Sus scrofa: one gene and its partners. The main gene of each other region encodes a partner of the protein of the gene in region 5 in a complex. Links are inferred from orthologs where the notes say so. Each region holds a gene or a part of one and is shown on either strand. Other genes may lie near its edges.

Region 1 (4,312 bases), on a different chromosome or scaffold from region 5:
AAGAGCACAGAAGACTAAAGACACATTTTAATATATTTTCATCATTATACAAATGACAGTCAGCCTATCATTTAATTATTTTTCAGCTTATTAAAACACTTTTTTTGCTCTGAAAGAGAAATCTAATTCAATTCAAATATTCTCAAAACACACATACACAAAAGGCATGGGCAAAAATACAACACAGTCACTTTCAATACACACACTTCTTTAGATCTCAGTGAAGCATGGCACAAAAAACAGCTTAGTTTTTAATAAACTGTATAATTTGACTGCCCTTCTGCTTCATGGTTCAATGCAAAAATTTTAAATCAATGTTTAAGTTTTTACGTTACTCACTGTATTGAGCGTTCTCTCCAGAGAGTTAAGACATAAAACATTTGGCTTTCTGAATGACAGTGTGAAACCTTCAGTGTAGCAATACTTTGACATACATTAAAAATTTTTTTAAATGCTATTAATTCATCACTGTATTTTAATCTTCCCTGTTAAAAGAAATAAATTATACATGAAGCCCAAACAGCTGGAAAGAACCCAGAAAAGCGACAAGAAAACGATGACTTTTAAAAATGCTGACGCTTTTCACACCCAGGTTCAGTCATGCCAGCTGGAGAGAGGTGTTAGATATGGCTTTATTCATTTTAAGTCTAAGAAATACAGTCATTTCCATGACATTCTAAAAACTGGAACCAAGATAAATTTATCTTCATGGTCCTGAATTAAAAAGCATTAAAAAAAATCATTTCTGCAAAATCCAAGGTATTTTGGATGGATCATTTGTTTGCTAATGCTTAGAGTCAAATTATTTTGTCCCACATTTCCCAGTGAACCAGAATACAAAGAGATAAGAAGGACACACACACACATACAAGACACACGGTGACCCAGTATCTGAACCACTTCAGACATGGCATCCATTAAGGGGGCCTTTGCTCCTAACTGTGTAAGGGTCCTTAGCTATCATCTGACTTGCACAAGAAGCACACATGGCCCCGGAGAGGCGCTTTAGTCCCCTTTGGAATACGCTGTTGGAAAGACTATAAATGACACAGTTGCAGAAACTGTTACTAATAGCAAGCCAGGTGGTCAAGAAGGATGCGAAGCGGTTGCTGTGGCCAGTGGAGCTCTCCAATAAGAAGTAGATGATGTATGGCAACCAGAGGATGTAAAATACACTAGTGATTCGGAACAGGACCATGGCATAGCGCTTATCAGGACAGGCCTGAACCTCCCCAGTCTCCCCACTCTGGCTGCTGAAGCGGGCTTGCCTTTCGCTGATTTCCTTTGTGTGCTGTTGGCAGATGCGGAAGATGTTGAAATAGGTGAAGCACACAATGAGGGCTGCTGGGGCATATAACATCATCACGATGAACAGGGTGAAGTAGGGGCTGGTATACCAGGACTCCGCACACCACTGAAACACATCTCCATGATATCCAGGTTTGCCCCAGTGGAAAAAGGAAGGCAGGAAGACCAGGGTAGAGTATAGCCAAATCAGGAAAATGCACAGGCGTAGTCTCCAGGGTGTAACCAGTGTATTATAGGTCAAAGGTTTAGTGATGGCAATATACCTATCGATGCTGATACAAGCCAGAGAGGCCATGGAGACACTCTTCAGAACTGATACTACAAAACCAAATACCTGGCAAGCCAAGGACTCCTCCACTGGAAGGGGATAGTGGAGGAGTGATAAAGAAGGGATCAGGCAGCTTATTCCAACCAAGAGGTCAGCATACGCCATAGTCTGGATAAAATAACTTGTAGTATGGTGGTTCAACAAAGGTGCACAGTGAAATACAAAAATCACAATGATGTTGCCAGAAATAATCAATACAGTTAGAAAGACAATAATTAATACTTCCAAAAGGCAAAAATTGACAGTTTCCAAATAGCCAAATGCCAAGAGGCAAAAAGGGTGGCTGCTCTGATTACCATCCAAGGTAGAGTTCATCTTGAGCTCAGGAGTGATCTCTCACTTCATGCTGCCGCCTGGCTGCTGCCAACAGTTCAATGGAGCAGCTGCTGTCATTGCGGCCAGCTCTGTGTGTCTGTAATAATGCCCGAGGAGCCTTAGTCCCCAAGCTCCCGATGCTGCTGCTCTGATGCATTGCCTGCAGTGCAATTCCCTTTTAAATCCTCCTTGGAATAGGGAGAACCAGCAGCAGTTGTCTGGCCAGTCCCAGATGCGGCCATAGTACCAGGTTTACCATACACATAGCACCGGGGGAGTAAGGCAAACTCTGGTTACAATGTCTTCAGGCCAATGAGGGTAGGGGGTAGGGGCAGAAGAGAAGGGAGGAAGACTAGGACTTCAGCAGGAGTTGTAATGAGTCTCCTCTGAACAGCTGATAGAAGAAAAGGAGAGAGTGTTTTACATTTTGCATCCAATGCCCTCATCAAGAACCTGGCTAGCTCGGGCTGACACCACCCCTCCCACTCTATCCTGCCACACCCGGTACATCTATTCACAGCTACCCTCAGTAGCACCCCTTACTCTACAGAGGAAGCGCAGTGACAGCAAGCTTTCATGATCAACATAAAAACAAAATCAATTGCAAATGAGATCAATCTAAGCCCGTCTCCTTTCAACTGAGCCTTTTAAGGGAAAAAAGAAATCTGCATATAGCATTTCTGAAAACACTTTACTACAATTACCACTAATAATACTAACCAATATAACTTACTTTCTTCATTCATTCCAATATAATATTTTGCCTCTTAGAAAATATTTCAACAGCACTGAATTGCCTAGCTCAATTTCCGAGTGTTACCTGTAATTCTGCATGCTGCGATCCAAACAAAAGCCGCAGAACATCCTTAACAGAAAGCCTTGCAAAGCAGGAATGTGCCTTAGCCCCGTTTACTGCAGAACTGAGCCACAGAGGGAGGGGATAAAGGAGTAGGAGGGGAAATAGGGAGAAGAAGGGGCTTGGGAAAAGGAAGAGGCGGGGGAGGGGAAAGAAAATGCCTGTGTGCGTGCACACTCCGGCATCTTTAGCAGCTCATTAGAATTCATCGCCAGAGAGGTGCTCCCCGATTTTCAGATCACACGAGGTGGGGGTGGGGGTGGGGGTGGGGGGGTGGGGGGGTAATTTAATATGCCTGCAGTGCAATGTTTGAAAGCTGTTTCCTCGTCTGTCTGGAATCCCCCTCTTAACAGATGAACTGAATTTAGTAAGGAGAAGGGACAGTAACCAGGACAGAGCGCCAGCCAGGAATTAGATTGAAACACACTGCCAGAGGGGTAATGGTGAGAGGAAATTCCTATTTCCTTGTAGCATTTCTCAGGGAACAAAGAGCAATGTTAAAGAATGAAAATGTGTTAACAGTTCATGACAACTGAGGACTCATAATTCAGCACAAGAAGTCCTAGGTAGAAAGCTACATATTTGGCATTAATTTTCTCTCATTATTCACTAAATGCTGATCAATTTTAAGAAAGATGGCCAAAATAACAAGGAAATCTAAAAATTCCGTTTTTCAAAAGAAAAAAATAAATTCCATCCATTCTGAATATGCAGAAATAGCACACAGATGAAAGAGGAATTATGCTGTTGCTGTATTCAACACTATCCTATAGTTTTCAGATGCCATTACATGCTTCTAGTTTGCTGAGAACTGGTACACAAATATACAAACAAAAGATGGACAAATTAAATGTACCCACTTCCACCCAGGTTTGAAAACTGGAGGAAGTTTCATGGTACAATCTGTGTACCTTAAAATACACAATCTTCTTTGCGCCTACTCAACACAAGGCAAATTGGGATGATACTGTGGCTCTTCAGATGATGTCTAAGTGATGATAATTTTCAGCTAACTGGGAAGTGTCAAATGATAACAATTTTTAATTATATTACATGATCCAACTTTTATTTTTTGTTTCACACACATGCTTTCTCATTGCAGGCAATGGCCACTCATTACCAGAATTCAATCAACTACATTTTAAGATTTAAAGCACTGTGCGTATCACACCAAAGGCAAGAAACTCAAAAAGCCTATTAAGCATAAGCTTGATAGCTTGGTAGTACTTGACAGGTCTTAGAGGAAAAGATGGAACAGCGAAAAGATCCATGGCACTGAACACCCATTTGGCTCAAATCCTTGCTCTAATATTACTTAGCCTCAGCTTCATCATCTGCAAAATAAGGATCATATGCCCTGTTTCATGAGGTGATTGAGAAATAAAGCAGAATATGTATACCAAAAATTAGCCATTACCTCGCACATTAAGGGAATATAACTACTTTTTCCTCATACTACTCAAACAGCCTTTCCTGAATAGTCTACTTTCCCACAGATCATGTTG
Region 2 (4,429 bases), on a different chromosome or scaffold from region 5:
AATGGAGGAAGTGGGATTTGAATCCAGTCTACACTCCTGACCACATCCACCTGAGAAATACCCCAAACTCGCCACATCCAACCTGAAGTGCAGCCCAGACCGTCTCCTCTCCCCATGTTCCCTGCCACCAGCCCCTCACCTCCTTCCCCTTGCCCCCCACTGACAGTTGGAGCTGCAGGCTTTCTGTGTTGAGGGGGAGAAGTTGCTGGGGCCTGGAATCTGGGCCCCTCTGGTTTCCTCAAGCCCTAACCTAGTCCCTGCCCGCCCCCCACCCCCATCCCACAGGCCTGGCCCGGTTGATTCCCATGAAGATCAAAGCTAGAGACAGAGGGAGGAGAAGCAGCCAGTTCCCCTCCCCCAGAACTGGCTGTATCTGTCACATCTGAAGAAGTCAGCTGAAAGGTGCCCTGGGAACCGGCAAGGTTGGGGAAGAGGGAGCTCCTTTTCCACGTCCAGCCCTGCCAGGGTGCCCAAGATGGGAGGTTGAGAGGTGCCTGCCCTGGGGACTGAGCTGCCAGGTTTTCTGCTTCCAAGTTCTTCCCGGCTCCCCCACTCCTGCTGCTTCGGGGAAGTGCCCCCACCACTGCTACCCTGCTGGCTTTCCAGATCCTTGAATAAATAATTCAGGTTTTGAAATCTTGCCAGGCCCACCCCTCCTGTGCTCTGAGGGCGCTATTGGGCTGACATGATTGACGTCAGCCAGCTCCTTATGCCAGGCCCAGCATCACGAGGGCCTGCCCTGGCAGCAACTTACCTGCCTGGTCACTGTCAGTCCAGATCCTCTACCCTGTCCCATTCACTCTGGGGCCCACTCACCACCGGCACCTGGTATCTTCATTCCAGGACCCTACAACCTTCATCACAGCCTTGTCGCTTAAGCACTTGGAAAAGGGTCACAGTGACCTGAAGTCCTGTCACCTGATAATCCCTCTTCTCTTTCCCCTGCCTCTGCCTCTGCCACCCTGGGAGCCCTGTACCCCATCATGCCACAGAGTCACCCTGACATGGCTCTGGTTGCCTTGGGAGCTTCCCGCTTTACCTCATCATCACCCAAGATCCTGTCACCATGCTCTTACCGTCACTGCCACCCACCTCCTTGCTCCCCGTGCTCCTGTCACTGTCACCTCAGGGCCCTATCATCTTGGCAACCCTGCGTCATCTTCACCTGGGACGCCGGTTCAGCCTCATCACTTGATCCCCGTCACCTGAATTCCGTCCGCCTGTCTCTACCACCCGAGGGTCCCATCACCCGGCAGCCTATCCAGGTACCCCTTCCACTTCCCTTACACATCCCCCGCAGCCTCCCTGGGATTTCAAGGCTCTCCAACCAGCGCCCCGAAACCCCCGGCGGTAGAGGGCGTCACGTCAAGGACAGCCCAGGCCGACTCAGGAGGGGGCGGGGCCGCGGCCACGGTCGCTTTTTATGAATGGGGGAGCGGGAGGCACGAGGCCTCATTACTATGCTTAGCGGCGCGCGTTGCGCCCCAGCGCAAAGCACCCATTGGCCAGTGATGTCGCTGACGTCACCGAACCGGTGGCCGGGGGCGGGGCGGGGCGGGGTGACTCACGCCGCTTCTCCCGCGGCCGCGGGGGCTTCTCGGGGTCCACGCACACCCTGCGCAGCCCGGACCCAAGCGGAGCCTCCCCGCGGCCCGGCCGCGCCCGGTCCCGAGAGGTGAGTAGCGGGCCCCGCCGCGGCCACCAGGCTGCCGGGAGGGCACACAAGATGCAGGGGCGCTGGGGAGGCGGTAAGGCTCCCAGCAGTTGACCGGGGTCGGAGTTCGAGTCTGGGAACGCAGAGTCTGGGCTACCAGGAGGGGACCCAGTGTCTGGGTGCTGAGAGCCGTCCATTGGGTGACCTGACGAGAGGTGAGCACTCCTGCAAGGACCTGAGGCCCTGAAGGGACTGATGGTCATTTGAGGTTGGGCGGGCAGGAGGCGTCTGGGGCAAAGACCCAGGCGTCCGAGCAGGAAAAGGTGTCCGACTTAGGGATCCAGACATCCGGGCAGGAGGCGGAGTCAGGCCAAAAATCCAGGTGTCAGGGCAGGAGGGATCTGACTCAGGGATCCAGGCTTCCAGCAGCGGGTGACTGTTCCAAAGACTCGGAGGCTCAGGCAGAAAGAGGGGTCTAGCTGGGGACAGAAGTCTGGGCGGCTGTGTGTTGGGGGGCTGACTTCCCAGGTGTTTGTTACCCCAGGAGTGCAGGGTGGGGGCTGGCGGGAGTTCACGAGCATTTTCTGGGGGCGGAGTCTGGGGTTGGCTCAAAGGAGAATCGTGAGGGGTCTGAGCCTCCGAAAGGGAGCGTCATCCTCTCTAGTGGGGAGGGAGGAGAGCTGCCCTCAGTCTTGAGCTGTTTTTCCCTCCCCCAGCTCTGGGCCTTTCCCGGCTTCTCCTGGATCCTACCACTTAGTAGTCCTTCATCTTGTCCTCCTCTGGTTACACACGTGGGAAAAAGAGGCCTGCAGGACTCTGGGGAGTTGGAAGGGAAAGTGAAGGGACTCAGGACAGGGATCTTCAGGAAAAGAGACCCCTGCTCTCCTGGGGGCGTGGGAGAGGCCAAAGTGCTCCAGGGCATGAGTGGGGGGGACAAGTCATTGGGACCCGCCAGGTCTCCCGAGGAGAGGCTCCTGCTTTTTCCAGACCCCTCCACACAGCACCCAGCCCTACCAGCGTCTCACAGGGCCTTTCTCCTGCAGGTACCATGATGTGGGGTGCAGGCAGCCCCCTAGCCTGGCTCTCTGCTGGCCCGGGCAACGTGAACATGAGCAGCATCGGCTCAACAGAGGGCCCCACAGACCCAGACGCACCACTGCCCTCACCTAGGGCCTGGGATGTAGTGCTGTGCATCTCAGGCACCCTTGTGTCCTGTGAGAATGCGCTGGTGGTGGCCATCATCGTGGGCACTCCCGCCTTCCGTGCCCCCATGTTCCTGCTGGTGGGCAGCCTGGCTGTGGCAGACCTGCTGGCAGGCCTGGGCCTGGTCATGCACTTTGCTGCTGTCTTCTGCATTGGCTCGGCCGAGATGAGCCTGGTGCTGGTTGGCCTGATGGCGATGGCCTTTACTGCCAGCATCGGCAGCCTACTGGCCATCACTGTTGATCGCTATCTTTCCCTGTACAATGCCCTCACCTACTACTCAGAGACCACAGTGACTCGGACCTATGTGATGCTGGCCCTAGTGTGGGGGGGCGCGCTGGGCCTGGGGCTGCTGCCTGTGCTGGCCTGGAACTGCCTGGATGCCCCGGCCACGTGTGGTGTGGTATATCCACTCTCCAAGAACCATCTGGTGGTCCTGGCCGTTGCCTTCTTCATGGTGTTTGGCATCATGCTGCAGCTCTACGCCCAGATCTGTCGCATCGTCTGCCGCCATGCCCAGCAGATTGCCCTCCAGCGGCACCTGCTGCCTGCCTCCCACTACGTGGCCACCCGAAAGGGCATCGCCACCCTGGCCGTGGTGCTTGGCGCCTTTGCCGCCTGCTGGCTGCCCTTCACCGTCTACTGCCTATTGGGTGATGCCCAGTCCCCGCCCCTCTACACTTATCTCACCCTGCTCCCTGCTACCTACAACTCCATGATCAACCCCATTATCTACGCCTTCCGCAACCAGGACGTGCAGAAGGTGCTGTGGGCTGTCTGCTGCTGCTGTTCCTCTTCCAAGATTCCCTTCCGATCCCGTTCTCCCAGTGACGTCTAGTTGCATCCTGGCGACCCTTCAGTCCTGATCATTACAGAATTACAGAATGTTAGGTCCTCCGGGGCTTTGTTGCAAATCCCCAGCTCCACACCCCAAGACCCAGCTGGTTCTGGAGTTCTAGGACGTTGGGTGTTTCACAGGATTCTGTTCAGATCCCTGCAGGGCCCAGCCAGCTCCATGGTTCTAGCATGTTCAGGGGATCAGGGTTCCACTCAGAAATGTCCCACAGCCCAGCTAGCTGGGAGTTCCAGTATGCTGCTGGGTGTTTTACAGTGCCATTCCAAGTCCCTGATCTTCTGCCTCCCTTGACCTTGACCATGTCACTTTTGAGTTTCTGATCTAAAGAGTCAGAGAGGTTTGTTCCTCCGTTGCCTAGATAAGAGAAAGCTATATCTGTATATATGTGCACATACGAAGAGAGTATCTATTATTTATTTATTTATGAATTTATTTATGGGTGTTAAGGGGAAAAAGAGGCCCACACCTTGAAATCCAGGCCATACTAGGGTACTCCCAGTCCCCAACACTCCCATTTCTGACCTCAGTTCCTAGACAGGGAAAAGGGAAAGAGAAACCACGTATTTTGTTATTATTTTTGCTTATTTTTTATCGAAGAGATCATAGAAGCCAGAGCCTTCTCCCCCGGCCCGCCCCCCTAGGGTTGGAAGGGGGAACACACCAGCCTCTGGTTTTTTATTTTTTTAAGAAGCCATCACCTTAGAAACCGAGAATTC
Region 3 (4,620 bases), on a different chromosome or scaffold from region 5:
AATGATAATTAAAATGGAATAAAATTTCATACCTGAGTGGAATATTACTTGTGTATTGGTCATCCTCTATTAGATGCAAAATCTTTGAGGATAGAGACATATCATATTTGTCTATGTATCTTCAGGCTTAATGCAATGCTTGGCACATTATAAATAATCACAAAAATTTTTTGAATAGATGACATTTAAAAAATATAACACTTACATAGAAACTACTATGCACCAGACATCTACCCCAATGATTTACAAATATTAATTTAATACTCATTAGAAAAACTCCCTTTTATAAAGGAAATTAAGACACACAGAGGTTAGATTATTTGTCCAAAATCATACAACTTCTTAGAAGGTGATGGAGTCGGGTATGAAACCCAAGCAGAGCCGTGCCAGAATCGGTGGCTCTTAATCAATACTGCTTTGCAAAAAAAATGCTGTCTTTAAATTTAAAATATTTGTATATACATATATGTATAAAAATATATATTTTATTATAGCATTGAACTTAGAATAAGAAGACCAGGGTTCAAATACGCATTAGATTTACTTGGTTTGCAGCTTTAAGCATGTTCATTAACCTAATGGGTCCTTAATTTCCTCATATATGAAATCAGAGTAGAAGCTGGCACCTCGCTAAGCTATTGTGGGCTTTAAAGGAAATAATTTATGTGAAAATACCAGAACATATTCAGCACCCGGGATATGTTATTTGGTGTGCCAAGGAGTATGGTACTATTTTCTTCTCTCCTTTCAAAAGGGTATATATATTTGCACATTACACATCATATAGGTCTTAGCAAAATGAGACCAAATTCTGTGTTTCATAAAGCATTGTTTCCAACATCTCTTAAAGTTAGAGTAAATTCACTAGAGCATTCTCTGGACAGTCAGATAAGCTTCAAACTCAATAGCTTGTTTTCTAGAAAAAAAAATTTCTTTCCCGGAAACTGTTACGGTAAACATCTACCATTAAGGGAAACAAATCTCTTTCTTCTAATTGGGATAATAAATTATAAATATTTTCTTTAAGATAAAAAAGATTAGACTGACAATAGAACATACAGCATTTATGTTCCAAGACCCTCCAATATTAACGAGCTCTATCACGTCAAAAAAAAAAAAAAAAAGTAAAAATGTAGACCCGTCCCTCAGATATTCTGACTTAGTTTTGGGTAGGGTCCAATATTTTTTTTAATGTTCTCCCATTGGTTCTAATTTGCAGCCCGAACATTGGTTTGGGTTATCAATGAAAATACCACGTCTCCTGTTTCTATTTTGTTTTTACTCTAATAAAAAACAGCAGATAATATCTTCATTCCTTTCAACATTGAAGGAATCTGAGAAGTTCACCAAGAACAGAGTTTTCTTCAACTCCGAGCATCAACTTAGACCACAACTGTAAGTTTTCTGTGTTCTTGTCAATAAGTTATAATGAGGATTTCATGTTTACTATACTTGATATGTTGGTGTGGTCAATAAATAACCTTAGAGTATTTTACAATGACTATTACTTTTGTGGCTGTAGTTCCTGAAATTAACTATAGAATAGAGGCATAAAATCAAAGCAAATCCCGGCCAATGGATGTTTTGAGCTATGTTAAAATATTGAGTAGAAATAAATGCCCACTGAGAATACTGACTTAAACTGCAAAGATGTTTTGCAAATCTAATCACCCTAGATCCTCTCATAATGCTAGCATGGAACACCCAGAAATTCTGACTTTTTAAAGCTGAGTTCTAACTGGACACATAGTAGGTTAGTAACATGATATTACAAATGATAAATCCCACAACACTAGATGCATTCCTACTTTGTCTCTGATGGCACATCAAGGTTGCCTCAAAGTATCAACTATTTGCTTTTCTATTATCATTTAAAACACACTCCAACTTGGACACTCTGCTACTTACAGATTAGTTGCAGAAACTATAGGGTCACACTTTGGTTTATTTTGAACATTTCAATTTCAATCACCCAACAATTTCGACAAATAGCCTTGAACAGATGATTTGGTTCAGGTTAACTACGGCCGTTAGGGTCTCCTGAACATCAGCAATGGAACACTGCCTTCTAGTCTTGAATGTACTATGTAATACCAGCTTAAAGCTTTTAGATAGAGCTTTTCTTAGGTAGATCTGCAAAATAAAGTCTAAATAATGGGTTAAAAATCTAATTGGATTGTTGATTTTTGACTCTGACTGGATTTCCTTGGACCTCAAGGAAAATGAATGTTTAGGGAAGGAGAACTAATTTGTGAGAGCTTTTCATGATGTCTTTCACCCAGGCTTGGGAAGAGCATCATGAAAAAAGAGTACCCTTTTGGAAACTACGCACACAACATATTTTTCCTAATAGGTGTGAAGAATGGCTGCTATGCATAAATGATTGTTGGAAAATAATTCTCTGTAAAACATGACTTAAGAAGCAACTCCATTCACCACTGTACTCATTTCCAATATCTAGAACAACTGTGACACATCACATAGATGCCGATATTATCTGTTTATGAGTTAATAAATACCTTTTAGAAAAAATCCACAATTTTCAGTGTCTAATTTTCATACCCAGGAAGCAGGAGAATAAAACTTTTGGAGGAAAATTTATATTAACGGCAAGTAAAACTCACACAAAATCCTAGGATTTGTCAATATGAAACCCTAAGTTTTAGTACCTTCCTAGACAACGAGCTTTTCTTTAATCAATGTTAAGGTGAGGTGACTGAGACTAAGTCGACCCTAATCAGAACCTGAAACATCACAATCAAAGTGCAGTTTTGTCATCAAAAAAACAAGGTATCTGGCGCATCTCCACTGTTAACCATCCCCTAGAGAACATCCTAAATCTTAAAGCCCAGCTCATTCCAAGACCCTCCTTACCTGGAGCAGTCTCACTGGGCTGCCGGGCACAGCTCAGTGGAAGCGAAGGTCATTCGCAGGTGGTGGCTCCAGAGACTCAGGAACTCAGGCTCCAGCGCGCATCTCCTGGATTGGAGATTCCAGCCCCTGGGCGAGGTGCGGACGGCGCGCACCTCTCCAGCCCAGGAAGGTCCGAGAAAGGCGCGGCGCAGCCCTCCCAGGGTCTGGGGGGCTGGCCGTCCTAGTGAAGAGCAAAGTACATTAGTCCGGAGCGCTCCCTCTCCTGCCCTTCTCCCGATTTCCTGACACTCTAATTCTGCCTTAAGTGATCATTTACACCTAGCCCCAGCTAGTATATAGGCTAAAAGGCAAGGGCTTCATCCCCATGCTTGATTCCCACCTCCCCAAAGTCCAAGAGGCTCACCTTCCCGGCGCCTTCCTTCCCAGCTGTGAGCTCTGCGCAAACTTCTCCCGACTTAAGTCTTCTCCTGCCCGCTCCCCCGCCCCTCCCTGCCCGCTCTCCCTCCTCCCGGGCAGCAGAGGAGGTGGCAGCGGAATTGATGAGCGCCAGCCCCCCCGCCCCCGAACTCTCCCGCCCCCGTCAGCCCGCTCCTGTCCCTGGAGAGGGAGGGGGAGCAGGAGAGCTCTGAGCGCCTACGCGCCAGCCCCTCTCGCCCTGGCCCGCGAGTGGGGCTGCACCCGCACGGCTGCCTAGCTCGAGTCCCCGCGGGGGCTCACCCCACGAGACCCCAAGAGTAAAAAGCGGCGTAAACACGAGAAGCAGGAGAGGGACCCGAGTTAGACCTTGGGGAGGGGGTGACAGTCTGGGCTGGGGGATTCATAGTGTACAGGGAGATAGCTTTCTAGGAGCCTTGTCCCCCTCCCCAGAGGACGCAAATTCCGGAGGGAGGTGAGTTTCCAAAAGAACCCACCCCTAGAGACCGTGCCACCCCGGCTCCTTCAGCCGCTGCTTGGGGGACAGCACCACCTGGGAGCCTGTGGAGAGGGTCTCCAGTGGGCGAGGTGGTGAAAGTGAGATGGAGATGGGTGGGAAAACGTTTGTCTAGGAACTGGGGTGCCGAGAGAAAGCAAGGGAAGGAGCTGGGAGGCAGGAGGTAAGAAGAGGGGCTGGGGGGTCCGCAAAGTGTTGCCAGAGCGTTCAGAGTTGGGCAGCTGTCTGGGGCTGGAGGCGCAGACTGGATTGAGGGGAACAGCTCCCTTCATGTAGGGGCTGCTGGTGGGCACAGTAGCCTACGACGGGGAGTGAGCACAGTGAGGAGGTGAGGAAGACGGGGGTCTCGAGTGCCTCTCCCCCACTAAAGCCATTGATGCCAGGAGGAGCCCGGGACAATCTGATTCCGGGCAGGGCGCTACTCCTGCCGGCTGGAGCGCTCTGGAAGGCGGGCAAGTTGGTTCCAAGGACGCACAGCCCTCAACATCCTTTAGCCCACCGCTGGATAGAGCAAGGCAGCAGCGGACACTTTTTTTCCTAACTCTGTTCAAGGGACTTTGGGCTAAGAGAGCAACATCTCGCCGTGTCCCGAGACTGAGACTGCAAGGTGGTCGTGGACCGTCCAGGTTACCAACACTGTTTACTCAGCAAAAGAAATAAAGGCAACAGCAACCAAATAGGACGGGAAGAAAGCCAGACAACAACACAGAACACTTTCCGGGGCAGTCCGAGTTTCTCCTAAGCACTCAGACGACAGAGGTGCCCTGTGAATGGGACGGCAACCTACACCCATCCGTTCTGTGATCCCTGCCCTG
Region 4 (2,807 bases), on a different chromosome or scaffold from region 5:
AAGCAGCCAACCCAAAGGAGCAAAGCCAGCTGTAAAGGTAAATGGGAGTGGTAGGGACTACAGAAAACTAATGATCATGCTGTTCAATCTCTGCCGATTAACACCATGCAAGAACATGAGCCCCAAGGAGCTATTTTTTCCTTTTTCCAGAGGAACCATAAATTCATATTTTGTGTGAAATCTTCTGACTTTTAAACACTGGTTACAAAGTCAGTTTTGGAGGGTGGAGGGGCAGGGGCAGATTGAAAACATTTGTCATTGATGCATATAAAGCATGTTGCAAGACTGATCAAGGTCATGAATTTTTTCAGTCTACGCTATGGATCCCATGCACACAGGGTTTGTGCATACAGACAGAGAGTCAGCGAGTGAATGAGGAGTGAGAATCCTAGACTGAGAGAGAGAGAGAAGGGGATGCCACTAATATTACCCACCATAGGGCATCTTTTTCCTTCTCTGATCTCTCATTTTCCTCTTCCCATCCCATAATACAATCTGGACCACTTTTCCCGGTTTCTTCTACCACTTCCAGCAGGACAGGGTAAGCAAAAAGAAGTCATGGCCTTAAAGGCCTGTTCTGCCTTTTCTTGGCCACAAGGGTCAAGAGAGACTTTGGTGTAGATGACAATCTCAGACAAGTAAGAGAAGGGAGAGTCCATCAGGAGTGGTGGTCCACAGGAAAGAATTCCCCATAGTGTGCAGAGACCCCAAGAGGGACTGGGATACCCCGGTGGCAGCTCAGTCATCCAGAGCACACCCCCCACCCCAGCCTCTGTGTGGAAAAGGAGGCAAGAGAGAGAGGGGGAGGGATAAAATACTTGTCACATTTATAGCCAGCAGTTACCAGCCTATAAGGTACCCTCTGTGAGTGAGACACTCAGGTGCTATAAATCTGGGGAGAGATATTCTCTGGGACTTTTCCAAATGATCTTTGAAAGTCTAATTCACAGATTAGTCTTTCTTCTGAGAGCCTCACAACCTGCCTAAACATTTCTAGGTTAAATCTCCCAGCATGTTTTTAAGTAAAAGCTGATTCTTCCTATTTAAAAAACATGGAAACAGGCACTCTGAAGGGACATGATTGACAGAAAGTCAGTGGGCTATTTGAAGGAGAGGACTGAGTCTTGACTCAGTATTGTGCATATGGTAACTACTTAGTGAATGTTTTTGTTTATCCAAAATCACCTGACCTTAAACCAGTGGAGGTAGCATATTTCAACAGCTGCTCTCAGTATGGACATGCACTTCATGTGAACCTAAGTTCTAGTCCCAGAGTTGACCTTGATGATGACCTTTAAGGGTTTTTGTCCTTAGCATCTCCAGCTGTCAATTAATTAAAAAAATAATAACAACACAGGGTCACATTTGGATACGTCCAGTATTAAGGGGCTAACGCAATGGTGGGAAAGAGGCTATAGCCAAGGGTTACCAAGGGTTACCTCTCCATCCACTCTCTCTCCAGGTTTCGTCTGGGCTTCAAGCATGCCTTTCGGTGTTGTCCTTTCATCAGTGCTGGTGATTATGAGGGGCTCGAAATGAAATCCACTCGGTACCTCCAGACCCAGGGCAGTGTGTATAAAGTCAGCCGCCTGGAGACCACTGTCTCCACCGTGGTGGGGGCCCATGAGGAAGAGCTGGAGGAAGGCCCAAAAGCCATGCCCTTATCCCGGACCGGACCTCCAACGGCTCTTCTCGCAGCGACTCCAAGACTATGACAGAGAGCTTCAGCTTCTACTCCAACATGCTCTCCTAAACCACAGGGCCTTTGGTAGACACGGCCACCATGCTTTATCTTGTTTCATTTCATGCATGGATAAGTACGCTATATAGAAACCATAAGCAACATCCTTGAGACTTGTGAAAGGATCAGAATCATTTAGGGAAAATATTCCATCCTTGAGTAAAAAACCTGAATTCTTCCATGTCTTTGACCCCCATACGCTGTATGACCTAAAGCAAATCATCCAGCTTCTCTGAGCCTGTAAAATGGGAAGGTTAGACTTGATTTTCTCTGCAATTCATTCCATGATCCTGGAATTAACTTTAATCGCATGTAGGTGCTCATTTCAGGGTGACTCCTGCAGTGCAGATCCAATGGATCTGCCTACCCGGAGCCTCCCTCTTACTTCAATAAAGCTGATCTCAGTCTTGCTTAGATTATTTCCCTTTAGCTGGTGGCTCACACTGCATCAGCCTTTGCTTGATAAGATGAACAAAAGGAGGAACCACAGAAAATCTGAATGAAAGATTTCACCCTGTCTTCTAAGCATCCATGAAAAGAAGGCATACTTCTGCCCCCTTTTGGCATTTCAGTATCTCAGTGCATCATGGGATTGAGAGCCTCAAGTTCAACTACACTGTGTCCCCAGTAACTCTCCTGAGCAATCAGTGCAAGTGGAACATGTCCACTGATACCAACTAATGTCTGTTTTGGACCAAGACTCAGGAGAACAGTGCCATACTTTATCTGATCCTCTCTTATTTGTAAAGCTATGAGGCTGAGTATGTCATCTAGGTGTCCCTTCAAATTTTGACATTCAAGTTTCAATGATCCTATGAATTTTTGGTTTGTTTCACCAAAAATTGGTAGTCTCAGAAAGAATAGGAGCAGCAAGTCTAGCGACTTAACATCCAGCTCCTAGAGATGTAGGAACTGCTAAGACCATGTATCAATATCCACATACAACATACTCTGATTTATCCCAAACTCTTGAGCACTTTCCTTCTTCTGGAAGATTGGCCTTTGCCAGAGCAGAGGACTTGGTGTCAAATCTTACTCTCTCCATCAGGCTTTTGCAGGCCGAGTC
Region 5 (3,874 bases):
GCCACCGACGTCAAACATGCTGCAGGAGAGAGAGGACGCCTGGTCACCACAAGGGCTACCATGGTCCACCATGCTCACTGCGGGGGGACCTCGAGAAACCTATTTTTCTTTCTAAAAAAAAGGAACCGTTTACTTACTGGAAGTTGACTTTGTCCACCTGGAACTTGGTCTCAAAGATTCCAGAAGTCAGGACGCGGCAGCGGAGCAGGTCCTAAAACAAAGTCTCAGATTAAGCGGTCTCACCAAAACCAACCCAAGTGTTAATCATTGCCAACCTGGAGCAAAAATGCTGACTGGCTTGGAAAGAAGACTCTGCATCCTCTGCCCTGTGAGAAGGGGTGCATACCTGGTCGCTGGGCACGTAGTCAGCCTGCTTGATGACGTCAATCTTGTCCAGGAAGCTGGGAGCAGAAGAAAGACACACGGGGGTGACCACACGTTCAGGCCAATTTGCCCACTATTCCTGCCCAGCCACAAGGTCCAGCTAAGCGAAAACGACCATCCCATGAAGTTCATTAGGGTCAAGCGGATGCCTTACAAAGGTTCGCGCAAATAGGATTTAAGATAAATCAGGACCCCTGGCCTACAGGTACAGCACAGGCCAGTTGGGGGGGGGGGATCTGATCTGGTTTTAATTTGAAAAGACTCGCTCTGTGCAAATCCATCCGCCCAGGGCCCCAAATCAGGCCTGACTGTGTGCCATTGGGTAATGCCTGAGTAAAACAGTACACCCTCAGATTGTTTGGCTTTGACTAAAACGGCAAGTCGTTTGAAAACTGTACACTTCCATGTCAGGGAGTTTTTGAAAAAATGAAGAAAAAAAAAAGGGCACGCTTAAAAGAAGCAAGGATTTTTTTCGCCCAAAGGACGAATGAAGATGAGATTGCTGGATTAACTCAGAAAGGGTATCTCTCCTTTTAGGAAGTGGCCCTCTCGGCCCGCACCGCACCGAACAGGAAACAGACACCAGTTCCCTTCCGTCCTGCTTGGTCCGTGAAGCAGACCAGCCCAGAGAGGAAGCTTTCAAAGCACCTCACCGCCATCCAGGTTTGGGGCCCCAGGCAGGCAGGGGGCGCGCACCGTGGCGGCGCGGGGTCTGGGGGTCTCAGGGGTGAGAAGGCTGTCTAGGGGTGAGAATGCTTCCTCCCTCCCAGAGTCGGGAGGCTCTTTGCTTGGGTTGCCCGACTGGACACACTGTTAGGAAAAATAACTTTTAAAAGACTGGACTGAGGTAATTACCATGGAAAGTTAATGTGGAAACCAGCTTTTGGGGGGGGGGGAAGGGGGGATGGGAGGTGTTGGAAAGTGAGCTAATCAGAGAAGAAAATCAAAGCGAGAAAAATTTAAAGAAATTCTATAAGGTGGTGCCCCCCCCCCTTTCCTTTTCACCAGTTTAAAGTGAGTCTGGCTTCGAGGATACACTAACTTGCCCAATCAGGCTTACATTACAGCACCAGGCCAGAAATAGCTCCCCAGCCGCCCTGGCCTCCAGCACGTTGCCATGGCAACCGAACCACAGGTCTATAAATAGCTCATCAGCACCAAATCTTGTGAGAGAGACATCTGGAGGGGGGCCAGCCAAAGCCCAGCTCAACAAATAAAAACAGGCACCTTAAGGAACGGGCACGTCCCCAGGACCTCGGCCGTAACCTAAAGGCAGTTACGCCAGAAACAGGCGGGCTACGAAGAAGGCAGGGCTGCTGGAGGCGGCTGGCCGGGGAAGGAGACATTTTAAAAGGGTCAAGCTCTGTTCTCTTTTTCTCGGAGTTTCCTTAAAACTTTCCATAAACTGTGCACATGCTGCCATTTGCAGATAAAGTTGCAGGCATGCGTGGATAGGGCTTTCGAAAAACTTTTAAAAAAAACTTTTGAAATGGTGTGCGATTTAAAAAAAAAAGAAAAAAAAAAAAAAGAAAGCTGGCTAAACTGAATTAATGAAGTTGTTACACCCCGCCCCGCCCCCCCAGGGCTCTTAAGAATGGGGTGGTCAAAGCTGCCTAATCCTGTACCTGTGCTTCTGACTTGGATCCAGAAAACAAAAGGCAAACAATTCCAGGATTTCCATGTGTTTTGTGTTACTATAATTAGCACTTCCAGCTTTAAGCTCAAACTTTTGAGAAAATCAGGGACTTTGTTGAAGAAGGGGTGGGGGTGGGGGTCACGGCGACCGGCCCAGATGGACTGTTTCTCTGTTCCTTGAAAAAATATACAAGTTTGCTTGCGTGTTAAGTCACAAAATAGCTGTAGGGGTGACAAGTGAAAAGCATCGAGTGCCCTTGCTGTGGGAAAGCAGGGCCGGTGAAGGGACGTGGACAGCTTTCGCAGACCCCAAGAGGAGCTCGGGTGCTGTGCAGATGACGGGGTTCTGGGGAGCTGGCTTTGTGTGGCCCCAAGTTCCTCAGGCGCGGGGCTCCTGGGTAATGCACGATTTTAGCTTTTGGCGAGCCAGCCTCGTCCCTGGGTCCTGATTACTGAACATTTTCCAAAGCAAATTGTTGGCGTTTCAGTTACTTACACGAGGGGCTGACACAGGATTATCGTATTGTCAGAAAAGACAGTCCAACTTGAGAGCACGTTGCCTGAGACCGCTTGGTACATGTGTGCGACACGAGCAAACAGAGGGTCTCTTTGAGATATTTTTCACGGCTCTGAAGGCCATGTGTCTACCGCACGATGCACAGGGTAAGACAGGTGGTCAAGCTGTCTTAAAGGCAGCCTCCCGGCTGGGCGTCATCAGGCCCACTGCAAGAGAGCCTTGAAGGGACAGGAGGACAGGGCAAGGACCCCTTGGCAGGGGAGGCCCCTTGAATGAGGAACAAGGACAAGAAATGGCATCCAACATGGTGCCCACGCGAGATGAACCCTGGCAGCTGCTGTGGTCCCTTACGGGCGGTGGGGAGGTTGGGGCGGGGGCAGCACATGTCTGTCCTCACCATTCCTCTTTGGCACGTTTTTCAGTTGCGGTAAATACAATACAAAATTGCCACATTATCCGAAGTGTGAGAGCTGTCCCACCTCTCTAAATGCTTGCAGGTCAACTCAATTAATTACTTTGAGCTAATTAACGACGACCATGGCTTTATGGCAGGTGATTATCACTTTGCTCTGCCAGGCATTAAGTGTTTATATAAAATAACGTAGCTGCACTAAAACGTGCCATGAAGGCCCCTAGAAGATAAATGCATCAGACTAGAACCTTCTCAAGGCAGGTGAGACTACCTGGCTGGCTGCTAAGAAAGTACCTTGGGGCGGTGGGAGTGGAGGTGTGGGGTGTGCCCCGCGGGGCTCGGGCGGGGAGGGCACTTACTACTGGGCGCAGTCGATGAGCTGGTACTCGTTGGAGCGCTCGTAGCAGGCGCGCACGCCCTCGTCCTCCCACAGAGCCTTGGCATGCTCGTAGAACTCCTGCAGGGAGGGCCAGGGAGAGGGGTTGGAGGGGGCTGCAGGGCGCCCGGGAGACCCACCCCAAGGGCCGGTCCCCATGTCCAGGCAGCTTTAGGCAGGAGCGTTCCTACAGGACGTCGGCGGGCTCAAGGGCCCCCCCGAGTCCAGAATTACTGCTCCCGGGTTGTCATCAGCCTGTGCGTCGGGGGCCTGGGGGGGAGAGGCCGGACTGGGCCGCCCAGGAACTGGGTTTCTTCAGAGTCGCTTCTACGGGAGGGTGTGAGCTGGTCAGGAGGCTCTGGGTGGGGGGACAGGACATGTCTTTGTGATGAGGTTGTGGGGCACGTTTTCTCAGCTTTGGCCAAAACTATGACGGTCGGGAGCTGCTGGCCAGTCTGCCCTGTGCTTCTGGGGACGGTCTGCCAGGAAGAAGCCAAGGGCCAGCGACCTCTGCGTTGTTCTCAACGGCAGTAGGTCACAGGTCACAGGT
Region 6 (4,381 bases), on a different chromosome or scaffold from region 5:
GAGACTGCAATGTCTGACCTTGGAAATTAACCCATCTGGGCTCCAGTTTGGCCCCAGTGAAAAGAGATTATGGTTTGACCACCGCTTGACAAGGACACTGCAGGGAGTTCTCCCCTTTTTTCAACAAAGAGGCCGCAGGCGGACAGCTGTACCTTTCACCCCGGCCTCACAGGAGTGAGGACAGGCCACTTGTCTTGCAGCAAGGGAATCGCTCACAGGCCCAGAGCCGGAAGAACTCAGAGCAACCATCGGATCTCAATCCTCTCCACTGGCCCGGGTCGGCCTGGACCGTTCAGGATTTACAGCGTTGTTATCATCATCACCATCATCATCATCACCCTGGAGTCTCGGCCACAAGTCTTTTCATCCAAACCGCCTTTCCACTCAGGCCTCCTTTCCAAACCCACGCCTCGTCCCAAATCTACACGTTATCGTCTCTCTTCCAGGTCACTTCTCACTGGAGGGGAGGGAGGTTACAGAAACAAGCCCCCCACCCGGCAATTCTGTCCCTACCGCGCCTTTCCCCCTGCGAGGGGGGTGGGGGTGGGAGAAGGAAGGGTGGGGGAGGGGCTGGGGCTCATACCGCCGTCTCCCCCTTGCTGCTGTGGCTGAGTCTGTGGTAGAAGCGGCGCCACGACTGCAGGGTCTTGCCGGACCAGATCCAGAAGCCCGTGGTGATGCCTACGATCATGGTCATCAGGTATTTGATCATGAAGACGGTGAAGTCAGGGCTCATGGGCGGGAAGTGGCCGGGCGGGCAGGGAACCGCGTAGCTCTTGCACGTCTGCAGGAGCCAGGTGCGCTCCCAGTGTTCGCGGAAGGCCTGCTCGTAGAAGTAACAGGCCAGGACGATGGTGGCGGGCACGGTGTAGAGCACGCTGAAGACGCCAATGCGCACCATGAGCTTCTCCAGCTTCTCCGTTTTGGTGCCGTCGTGCTTCATGATGGTGCGGATGCGGAAAAGCGACACGAAGCCGGCCAGCAGGAAGGACGTGCCGATGAAGAGGTAGACGAACAGGGGCGCCAGCACGAAGCCCCGCAGCGCGTCCACGCTGGACAGGCCCACGTAGCAAACCCCGCTGAGCAGGTCCCCGTCCACCTGGCCCATGGCCAGGATGGTGATGGTCTTGACAGCGGGCACCGCCCACGCAGCCAGGTGGAAGTACTGAGAGTTGGCCTCGATGGCCTCGTGGCCCCACTTCATGCCAGCGGCCAGGAACCAAGTGAGCGACAAGATGACCCACCAGATGGAACTGGCCATGCCGAAGAAGTAGAGCACCATGAAGAGGATGGTGCAGCCCTCCTTCTTGGTGCCCTGCGCCACCGTGCGGTAGCCGTCTTCTGAGAAGCGCTCCACGCACACGGCGCGGTCCTCCAGCAGGAAGCCGGCCACGTGCGCCACGGCCACCATGAAGTAGCAGCCCGACAGGAAGATGATGGGCCGCTCCGGGTAGCTGAAGCGCCGCATGTCCACTAGGTAGGTGAGCACCGTGAAGAGCGTCGAGGCGCAGCACAGCACTGACCACACGCCCACCCAGAGGCGGGCGAAGCGCCTCTCCTCCTCCTTAAAGTACATGAGGCCGTTGGCGCGGCCCGGCTCGCAGGGGGCGCCGCAGTCGCGCTCGCCCAGGAAGCGGTAGCCCAGGTAGGGGGGCACCTTGAGCTGGCGGGGGCACGAGAAGGGGAAGGCCGAGCGGCCCCTGCCGTCAGCGGCTCCCGGGGGCAGCGCGGTGAAGGGCAGGTCGGGCATGTAGGGCGCTGTAGGATAGGCGGTGGGCCCGCCGCCTGGGCCCCCGGAGCCGTCGGACGTGTTCTGGCCCACGCAGATCTCGCCGGCGCCGTGCACAGGGAAGTTCTCGCAACGCAGCCGCTCGGGCCATTGGAAGCCGAACTTGTTCATGAGCGCCTCACACCCCTGGCGGGCACGCTCGCACAGAGAACGGCACGGCGGGATGGCCTTATCGAGCACGGTGCACACGGGTGCGTACATGGAGCACAGGAAGAAGCGCAGCTCGGGAGAACACTGCACCTTCACCAGCGGGTAGAACTGGTGCACCTCGAGGCCCGCATCTTCTTGGTTCGTGTGACCCAGCAGGTTGGGCAGGATGGTCTGGTTGTAGGCGATGTCCGTGCACAGAGGGATGGAAATAGGCTGGCAGAAGCCGTGGTCCGGCACTGAGATGCCCTTCTCGCCGTGGTACGGCTGCGCCCCGGCGCCCGCGGGCAGTGCGCCCAGCACTGCAAGCACCATGGTGCACAGGCCCAGAGGCGAGGGCGACGCTGCCGTGCGGGGGCCCCGCATCGCCGGCCGCGGGTGCAGCGGCGCTCTCAGCCCAAGAAACGCGACAAGACAGCCAGGAGAGGCTGGGATCCCGGCAGGCGCCGCCGCGCCGGGCGCATGAGAGTCCTCCCGGCGCCGGGGCCGGGCCGTGGGCGGTGCGGAGCCGAGGGCGCTGTAGCTAGGGTGCTCGCGCCGCAAGGGCGCCGTCGCCGCCGCCGCCTCCGCCCAGCACTCGCGCAGCCGCCGGGGGCCCAAACACGTCTGCCTGGGCCGGGGGCGCCGATGGGGGGGAGACGCCTTTTCCTCGCGCCGGGACGTAACGGTGCGGCTCTTTCTGCGGCGAAGAGCAACAAGCGTCTCCGGTTACCCTTCAAAGTTTGCCCAAGTCTCTTGACTCACAGCGCACAGTAACGCGCGCGCCCCCCGCTTGCGTCTGGGCCCCCGGCGAGCGAGAGCCCGGCGCCGCGGCTTGCTAGCCAAGGCCGCCGCCTCTGCGGTGCTGCTCCGCCTCCTTGCCTCGAGGCTCAGTTCGCCGCCACCTCCTTCTCCGCCGCCTTCTTCTCCACTCCCTGCTCCTTTTTCAGCCCCAAAAGCTTGTCCCCAAGTTTCAGCCAAACGGTTGATTCTCGTTCTGAGTCCTATCGGCGTCTTGGAGCCAAGAGCTCTGCGAGTTCTTTGAAGAAATCCAGTCACACTGCGTCCAAAGCTATGAGGCCCCCGTGCTCGCGGCCTGGGCCTGGCCTCTCCAGTCCCGCGCAGCCCCGGCCGGTGAGTCGCGGCGCCCGCCGCCGCCGCCGCCCGCCGGGAGGGAGCGCAGAGTAACGTCTCGGAGCCCAGCAACTCCGCAGAAGAAGCGTCGCGCTCGCAGGATTCCGGGCCGCCCCGCCCTCTCCCCTCCCCCCATTCACAAACCACTCCGGGGGCGGGCCCTGGAGCTCCAAGACCGCCCAATGGCAGCCTTTGTTTTCTGTGTGGTCGCCTCCGGATTGGGTGGAAGTCGGAAGGGGCGGGCGAGGGAACCCGAGAGGCACAGTCTGCAGCGCTCTGGGCGGATTCCTGAGGGGAGGGGCGGGGGCTGGGAGGGAAAAGTTAAGAAAAACTTTTACCGTGAATTCGCTGGGGGGAGCGGAGGGGGGAACGCACCAGAAAGGGAATTTGCTTGAAAGATTTGTTCCTCTTCCGGGTACTCTAAAATACACATTCCTGAATAGAAGGGCGCACGGGGGAAGTTTACGGGGAGAAGCTGAGAATAGAGCAGCGCCACGGCAGATAGGGACGTGACTCGGAGTCACGTTAGCCCTCCCCGAGCTGAAAATGCTGGGCTTGGCGGGGGACTTTTGGGTAGCGGGGTCCTAAATGAAGGGTTCACTATGGGGCCAGAAAAGGGTGCGCATCGCGGATTGCTTTTCTCTCCCCCGACTCTAACAGACCACGTGAGGCCACAATCCCCTCTCATCCCCGCTCCCAGTTGTAAAAAGGAGGAGGGGCCGCGACCGCGAAGAAATTGGAGTCGGGCGAAGGGGCCGACGTAAGGCGGGAGGAAGTGCAGACCCCTTGGAGGGGAGAGGGTTGGGGAGCCGCGGGCGCTGGGGACCCCGACCCCAAGTCACCCTGCCCGCGAGCACGGCCCAGGGTCTAGCGATCTGGTATAGCTTTAATGGAGCCATAAGAAAACAGTGTTGGGGGAAATGGCTATTAAAAACAAAAAACCTGCGACCCGAGTGCCCAGGAACACTGTACGGTTTAGAGAGAGTATTTATCCTCTTTTTCTTAGTTCTGCGGCGTGTTGGGATCCCATCTTTGTCGCAGAAGCAATGATTTGATCCTTGGAATATGCGTTGAAAAGTTTAAATGGGTATTAGAAACCAAGGGCATTTGCTAATTAGTTTTCAAAACACAAAGAGAAGTTATCCTGTTTTCGGGTAGCGTTTTCCGATTGGCAAGCGTTCTTTTGTTCCCGGTCAAATCTTCGCCCTGCTGAAGGCAATGGGCGCTCGCGCGCGCGCCCTGCTTACTCCCGACGAGATCAGAAGTTAGGAGGGAGGGGGGCCGCTCTCCCTTCTCGCTGGACAGCGAGGAATATCCTGAATTCCCATGCAG
Region 7 (3,874 bases), on a different chromosome or scaffold from region 5:
CATGCCTCTCAAGGTGACCCCTGGCAGGGGACAGCATGTGTCTGTTATAAGGTCTCTGTATAGTCACACAGCTCCATTCCAGGAAGGCTCCAGAGTTCTGTCTACCTCTCCAGTGGAACTCTACCCACACGGCTCTTCAATGGCCCATTAATTCGAATCTGAAAGCTTGACTTGCAAGGAGAGTCTGAGGTTCCCATATTTCCCCAGGAGCAGGAGAGTTCATTCAGCTCCAGTTCTATTGGAATTAGTCTGCTCTCAGAGTACAATCTCTCTGCTGACCACCACCATCTGCTGTTTTTCCAGTGGTAACCATGAACTTTCCAAACTACTTGGCAGCCCCTGTGACTTATTCTTTTGACTCCAGAAAGCTCAGGTGCCTGGCAACACACAGGCATTCCTCCTCCATTTCCTTCAGGGACATCATACACATCACTGGGTTGAAACCCCTTAGGAGCGAATGTGCAGAATTTTCTTGAATGTCTTCTTAAAGTTCTCGTTGCACAAGGGGTAGATGAGGGGGTTCAGTGTGGAATTGATATAGCCCAGCCAGATGGTGAACATGTGCACATGCTCATTACAGCAGCTCTTGCAGAAGGCGATGACCATGAAGAAGATGAAGTAAGGAATCCAGCAAAGGATGAAGGCCGCCATGATAAAACCCAATTGTTTGGCGGCCTTCCTTTCTCGGTTCATGTGCAACCCAGACACATACTGTCTTGAATGTGAGCGGAGCCTCTTCCAAGTCAACTTGATATAATCCAAGCCTGTGCTAGACCCACTTCTCGGTTTGCTTTTTCCCGGCACTGGCTCTGTAGGAGTGTCTGAGTCTGTCCGAGAGGACTGGCTGTCACCCAGGGTCTGATCCTCTGATATCTCATTGGCCCCACGCATGTTCAGGCCCTGCTCATCCATCTCTAGCTGGCTCTGGCTGTGGATGACGGCTACATATCCCTTGCTGCTCCCCTCTGCCTCCATCTGCGTCTGCACAATGTTAAGTGTGAAGCAATGGAATTTGTCCAGTTCTCCATCCTCTTGGCTGGAGACACCTGGGGACTTCATCTCCACTGAGTCTTGGGATGAGGGCTTCAAGACAGGTCCACCACCAGCATCTTTCGGCTTCCTTTTCAGAACCTCCCAGGGAGACTCCTTCCCTGCTTTCTTAGCCCCCACCTTGGGGTTCTCTGGCTTCAGCTTAATTTCAGAGAAGGAAGGGAGGGACCCATTGATGAGCTCCCGGTGTTGACAGTGCCGCCGCACAGCCTTGTAGATCTTGGCATAGAACCAGAGCATGAGCAGGGTGGGCAGGTAGAAGTTGATGATGGCGGTCATGACTTTGAACCAGGTGACATCATAGAAGTCCGTCTCACACTTGTCCTCCCGGCGCCTTGAGGTCCGTGATACAAAGCGATGCCAGCCCAGAATGGGAATGACCCACAGGAAGGAGAAAAGCCAGGCCACCAAGATGGTGGCCGACGCTCGGGTCTTGGTTCGATACCTCAGGTACCTGAGGGGCTGCTGGACAGAGCGGTAGCGATCGATGCACAAGATGAAGACACTAAAAATGGACGCTGTGCTGGCCACGTAGTCCATGGAAAGCCAAAAGAGACAGAGTGGGCGGCCCAGGGACCACCTGGACATGAGGAGGTAGAGGATGTTCATGGGCATGACGATGGCCCCCACGATCAGATCAGCCACCGAGAGGCTGACGATGTACAAGTTCCCCACCGTGTGTAGCTTCCGCTCACTGCGCACAGCACACAGGACCAGCAGGTTGAGTCCCACCGTGACCAGGGAGACAGCGCTGAGGACCACCACCAGGGGCATCAGTTTAGGGTTGGCCATGGTGGTCTTGTTCGCCTCACACATATTGTCTTCCAAGGTAAAGGAGGAATTAGGAAAGGTCATTGGCACAAGAGTAGCCTCCAGCTCCTGTTCACTCCCTGGGAAGAAAGACATGAGGAGTCACGTCAGAGCCCTGGTGATCAGCAGACTCAGTGCTATCATGGTGATCAAACTGGGGTGTATGCTGTCAAGGAGCAACAGATGCTGCTAGATACCTACAGCCTATATCCCCCACTTCCTTAGGTCTTCCTCCCTCCCTCCTTCCCCCCCCTTCCTCCCCCCTCCCTCCTTCCCTTCCTTCCTTCCTTCCATGACTACTTATTATATTCCTGGGCATTATTCTGGGGTTGGGGATAGAGCAGTGGACAAAATAAAAATTGCTGCCCTCAAAGAACTCACATTCTATTGAGGGAGTTAAGCAAAAACAAAATGAGGTTTGTACATGTCCCAGGTTGCATGTGTTCTAGGAGAGAGGCTGCACCATGACTGGTCTAAGCTACACACGGCATCCTCATTCCTCTTTGTCAGTGGCTGGTCTATGAGTGGGTCTGAGACACAACTGTGGCCAAGGAAGTCTCAAGGAAAGGGGGGGGGTTGCAAAGTTCTTCCTCTCTAACAGATGCGCAAAAGAAGTGAAAGGGTGTTTCCCACTTGCCCCCTTTTCCGGACAGGGTGTGATGCTGGGGCTATAGCAGTCATCTTGGGTCACCAGGGAAAAGCCAAGAAAACCACTGAGATGCCAAGTCATAGTCCTATTATTACAGAGCAAGTGAACCAACCCTGGAATCTTCTTCTTCCAGGCTGGTTATCATGGGAAATAATTAAATATGCTTTTTTGTTTAAGTCACTGTTGTGGGGATTTTACTTGCATCTAAAAGCACTCCAGGAGTTCCCCAGTGACCTAGTGATTAAGGGTTCAGCACTGTTACTGCTATGGCTTGGTTTTTATCTATGTCCCGGGAATTTCTGCATGCAGGGGGCTTGGGCAAATAAAATGAAATAAACCTAAATTAAATTAAAATAAAAGCAATCCTAACCAATATGGGGGAGGTTACTAGGGCACACAGAGCATGAAATAAATCTCCCACATCTCCTCAGATGAATGGTTCTCAAATGGGAAGAGAGGCATGTTATTTTAGAAAGCATGTTTATTATTTTACTTTTATATTTGAATTTCTCATAACACAAACTATGCAAACTAATGTGTAACAAAAACATCTTTGCTGGTGGGGCTATCCTGAAAACAGATTGGAATCTCTTATAGATGATCCTCAATTAGAGTGGGAAGTCAAAGTATGTATTAAAACCTTCAGAAGACATTGTTTGATTTTTATATTCATCAAAAAGTGGTATGAGTTTAAAGAAAGCTGGGAAGTGCTAACAGTGTGTAACTGTCTCTTGATAATTTAGCAAAAACAAATTATTTTTACATTTAGATGAATCCAGATAAATTATTGAATAGAAGGCTAAATTCACATGATTTTTAAAGACAAAACGCAAGACCCAGAGTTCCTGTCATGGTTCAGCAGAAATGAATCTAACTAGTATCCATGAAGATGCAGGCTTGATCCCTGGCCTCGCTCAGGAGGTTAAGGACCTGGCATTGCCATGAGCTGTAGTGTAGGTCACAGACACGGCTTAGATCTGGTGTGGCTATAGCTGTGGCTGTGGCATAGGCCTGCAGCTACAGCTCCAATTTGACCCCTAGCCTGGGAATCTTTATATGCTGTGGGTAGAGGCCTAAAAAGACCAAAAACAAACAAACAAACAAACAAACAAAAAAACCAAAACCAAAAACCAATACCCCAAGTAAACAAATGGCACCTAATTAAACTTATTCTGTTGTACAGCAAAGGAAACTACCAACAAAATGAAAATACAACCTACAGAATGGGAGAAAATATTTGCAAATGATATGATCAATAAGGGGTTAATAACCAGACTACACACACAGTTTATACAACTCAACATCAAAAAAAAAAAAAAAACCAGAAAAAACTGATTAAAACATGGGCAGATGAACTGAACAGAC

What was found.
Region 1: the proteins of GNAS (region 5) and GPR21 are in contact, whole or in part, in a cryo-EM structure (PDB 8HMV), measured with the Homo sapiens proteins. The link is inferred for Sus scrofa from reciprocal best matches to the Homo sapiens genes GNAS and GPR21. Residues at the interface, in NP_000507.1 of Homo sapiens: Gln35, Arg38, His41, Val217, Pro321, Asp323, Arg342, Asp343, Leu346, Arg347, Thr350, Tyr358, Cys359, Pro361, Phe376, Cys379, Arg380, Asp381, Ile383, Gln384, Arg385, His387, Leu388, Gln390, Tyr391, Glu392, Leu393, Leu394; in NP_005285.1 of Homo sapiens: His61, His62, Thr64, Arg127, Ala130, Ile131, Thr132, Pro134, Leu135, Thr136, Tyr137, Asn138, Thr142, Pro143, Ile214, Ile217, Cys218, His221, Thr222, Asp224, Ile225, Arg228, Gln229, Arg231, Phe232, Arg249, Tyr250, Val253, Leu254, Asn308.
Region 2: the proteins of GNAS (region 5) and GPR3 are in contact, whole or in part, in a cryo-EM structure (PDB 9LYB), measured with the Homo sapiens proteins. The link is inferred for Sus scrofa from reciprocal best matches to the Homo sapiens genes GNAS and GPR3. Residues at the interface, in NP_000507.1 of Homo sapiens: Gln35, Arg38, Ala39, His41, Val217, Phe219, Asp323, Asp343, Leu346, Thr350, Tyr358, Cys359, Phe376, Cys379, Arg380, Asp381, Ile383, Gln384, Arg385, Met386, His387, Leu388, Gln390, Tyr391, Glu392, Leu393, Leu394; in NP_005272.1 of Homo sapiens: Met75, Arg134, Ser137, Leu138, Tyr139, Ala141, Leu142, Tyr144, Tyr145, Glu147, Ile216, Ile219, Val220, Arg222, His223, Gln226, Ile227, Leu229, Gln230, Arg231, His232, Lys244, Gly245, Thr248, Arg300.
Region 3: the proteins of GNAS (region 5) and CALCR are in contact, whole or in part, in a cryo-EM structure (PDB 7TYY), measured with the Homo sapiens proteins. The link is inferred for Sus scrofa from reciprocal best matches to the Homo sapiens genes GNAS and CALCR. Residues at the interface, in NP_000507.1 of Homo sapiens: Lys34, Gln35, Arg38, Ala39, His41, Val217, Phe219, Tyr358, Phe376, Cys379, Arg380, Asp381, Ile383, Gln384, Arg385, His387, Leu388, Gln390, Tyr391, Glu392, Leu393, Leu394; in NP_001158210.1 of Homo sapiens: Arg180, His184, Glu240, Tyr243, Leu244, Leu247, Ile248, Val249, Val250, Ala251, Val252, Phe253, Glu255, Lys256, Ile319, Val322, Leu323, Lys326, Met327, Glu329, Thr330, Lys340, Lys343, Ala344, Ile347, Leu348, Leu351, Tyr391, Asn395, Asn396.
Region 4: the proteins of GNAS (region 5) and TACR1 are in contact, whole or in part, in a cryo-EM structure (PDB 7RMH), measured with the Homo sapiens proteins. The link is inferred for Sus scrofa from reciprocal best matches to the Homo sapiens genes GNAS and TACR1. Residues at the interface, in NP_000507.1 of Homo sapiens: Arg38, His41, Val217, Phe219, Tyr358, Phe376, Cys379, Arg380, Ile383, Gln384, Arg385, His387, Leu388, Gln390, Tyr391, Glu392, Leu393, Leu394; in NP_001049.1 of Homo sapiens: Met63, Thr67, Asn68, Asp129, Arg130, Ala133, Ile134, Ile135, Pro137, Leu138, Gln139, Pro140, Arg141, Leu223, Gln239, Ala242, Lys243, Val246, Met249, Leu308, Asn309, Phe312.
Region 6: the proteins of GNAS (region 5) and FZD7 are in contact, whole or in part, in a cryo-EM structure (PDB 9EW2), measured with the Homo sapiens proteins. The link is inferred for Sus scrofa from reciprocal best matches to the Homo sapiens genes GNAS and FZD7. Residues at the interface, in NP_000507.1 of Homo sapiens: Asp381, Gln384, Arg385, His387, Leu388, Gln390, Tyr391, Glu392, Leu393, Leu394; in NP_003498.1 of Homo sapiens: Pro285, Ala364, Lys368, Trp369, Gly370, His371, Ile374, Ile450, Ile453, Met454, Asp457, Thr459, Lys463, Leu464, Leu467, Lys552.
Region 7: the proteins of GNAS (region 5) and HRH1 are in contact, whole or in part, in a cryo-EM structure (PDB 9LRB), measured with the Homo sapiens proteins. The link is inferred for Sus scrofa from reciprocal best matches to the Homo sapiens genes GNAS and HRH1. Residues at the interface, in NP_000507.1 of Homo sapiens: Gln35, Arg38, Ala39, His41, Lys216, Val217, Asn218, Phe376, Cys379, Arg380, Asp381, Ile383, Gln384, Arg385, His387, Leu388, Gln390, Tyr391, Glu392, Leu393, Leu394; in NP_000852.1 of Homo sapiens: Asp124, Arg125, Ser128, Val129, Gln130, Pro132, Leu133, Arg134, Leu136, Lys137, Arg139, Thr140, Ile213, Ala216, Val217, Gln219, His220, Cys221, His223, Lys412, Ala413, Gln416, Leu417, Cys471, Asn472.

What each region holds. Positions count from the first base shown.
Region 1 is NC_010443.5:263,952,089-263,956,400, reverse strand, and holds the start of GPR21 (probable G-protein coupled receptor 21), read right to left. Parts: upstream 2,907-4,312; 5' UTR 2,772-2,906; intron 2,346-2,771; 5' UTR 1,952-2,345; coding exon 902-1,951; 3' UTR 1-901. UniProt on the Homo sapiens protein: Orphan receptor.
Region 2 is NC_010448.4:84,608,501-84,612,929, forward strand, and holds the start of GPR3 (G-protein coupled receptor 3), read left to right. Parts: upstream 1-1,606; 5' UTR 1,607-1,675; intron 1,676-2,697; 5' UTR 2,698-2,702; coding exon 2,703-3,695; 3' UTR 3,696-4,429. UniProt on the Homo sapiens protein: Constitutively active G-protein coupled receptor that maintains high 3'-5'-cyclic adenosine monophosphate (cAMP) levels that a plays a role in serveral processes including meiotic arrest in oocytes or neuronal development via activation of numerous intracellular signaling pathways.
Region 3 is NC_010451.4:73,400,131-73,404,750, forward strand, and holds the start of CALCR (calcitonin receptor precursor), read right to left. Parts: upstream 3,097-4,620; 5' UTR 2,875-3,096; intron 1-2,874. UniProt on the Homo sapiens protein: G protein-coupled receptor activated by ligand peptides amylin (IAPP), calcitonin (CT/CALCA) and calcitonin gene-related peptide type 1 (CGRP1/CALCA).
Region 4 is NC_010445.4:68,017,056-68,019,862, forward strand, and holds part of TACR1 (substance-P receptor), read left to right. Parts: intron 1-1,462; coding exon 1,463-1,715; 3' UTR 1,716-2,807. UniProt on the Homo sapiens protein: This is a receptor for the tachykinin neuropeptide substance P. It is probably associated with G proteins that activate a phosphatidylinositol-calcium second messenger system.
Region 5 is NC_010459.5:59,047,469-59,051,342, reverse strand, and holds part of GNAS (guanine nucleotide-binding protein G(s) subunit alpha), read right to left. Parts: intron 3,406-3,874; coding exon 3,308-3,405; intron 402-3,307; coding exon 347-401; intron 212-346; coding exon 138-211; intron 20-137; coding exon 1-19. UniProt on the Homo sapiens protein: Guanine nucleotide-binding proteins (G proteins) function as transducers in numerous signaling pathways controlled by G protein-coupled receptors (GPCRs).
Region 6 is NC_010457.5:105,642,932-105,647,312, reverse strand, and holds the start of FZD7 (frizzled-7), read right to left. Parts: upstream 3,150-4,381; 5' UTR 2,303-3,149; coding exon 578-2,302; 3' UTR 1-577. UniProt on the Homo sapiens protein: Receptor for Wnt proteins.
Region 7 is NC_010455.5:67,406,175-67,410,048, reverse strand, and holds part of HRH1 (histamine H1 receptor), read right to left. Parts: intron 1,941-3,874; coding exon 448-1,940; 3' UTR 1-447. UniProt on the Homo sapiens protein: G-protein-coupled receptor for histamine, a biogenic amine that functions as an immune modulator and a neurotransmitter.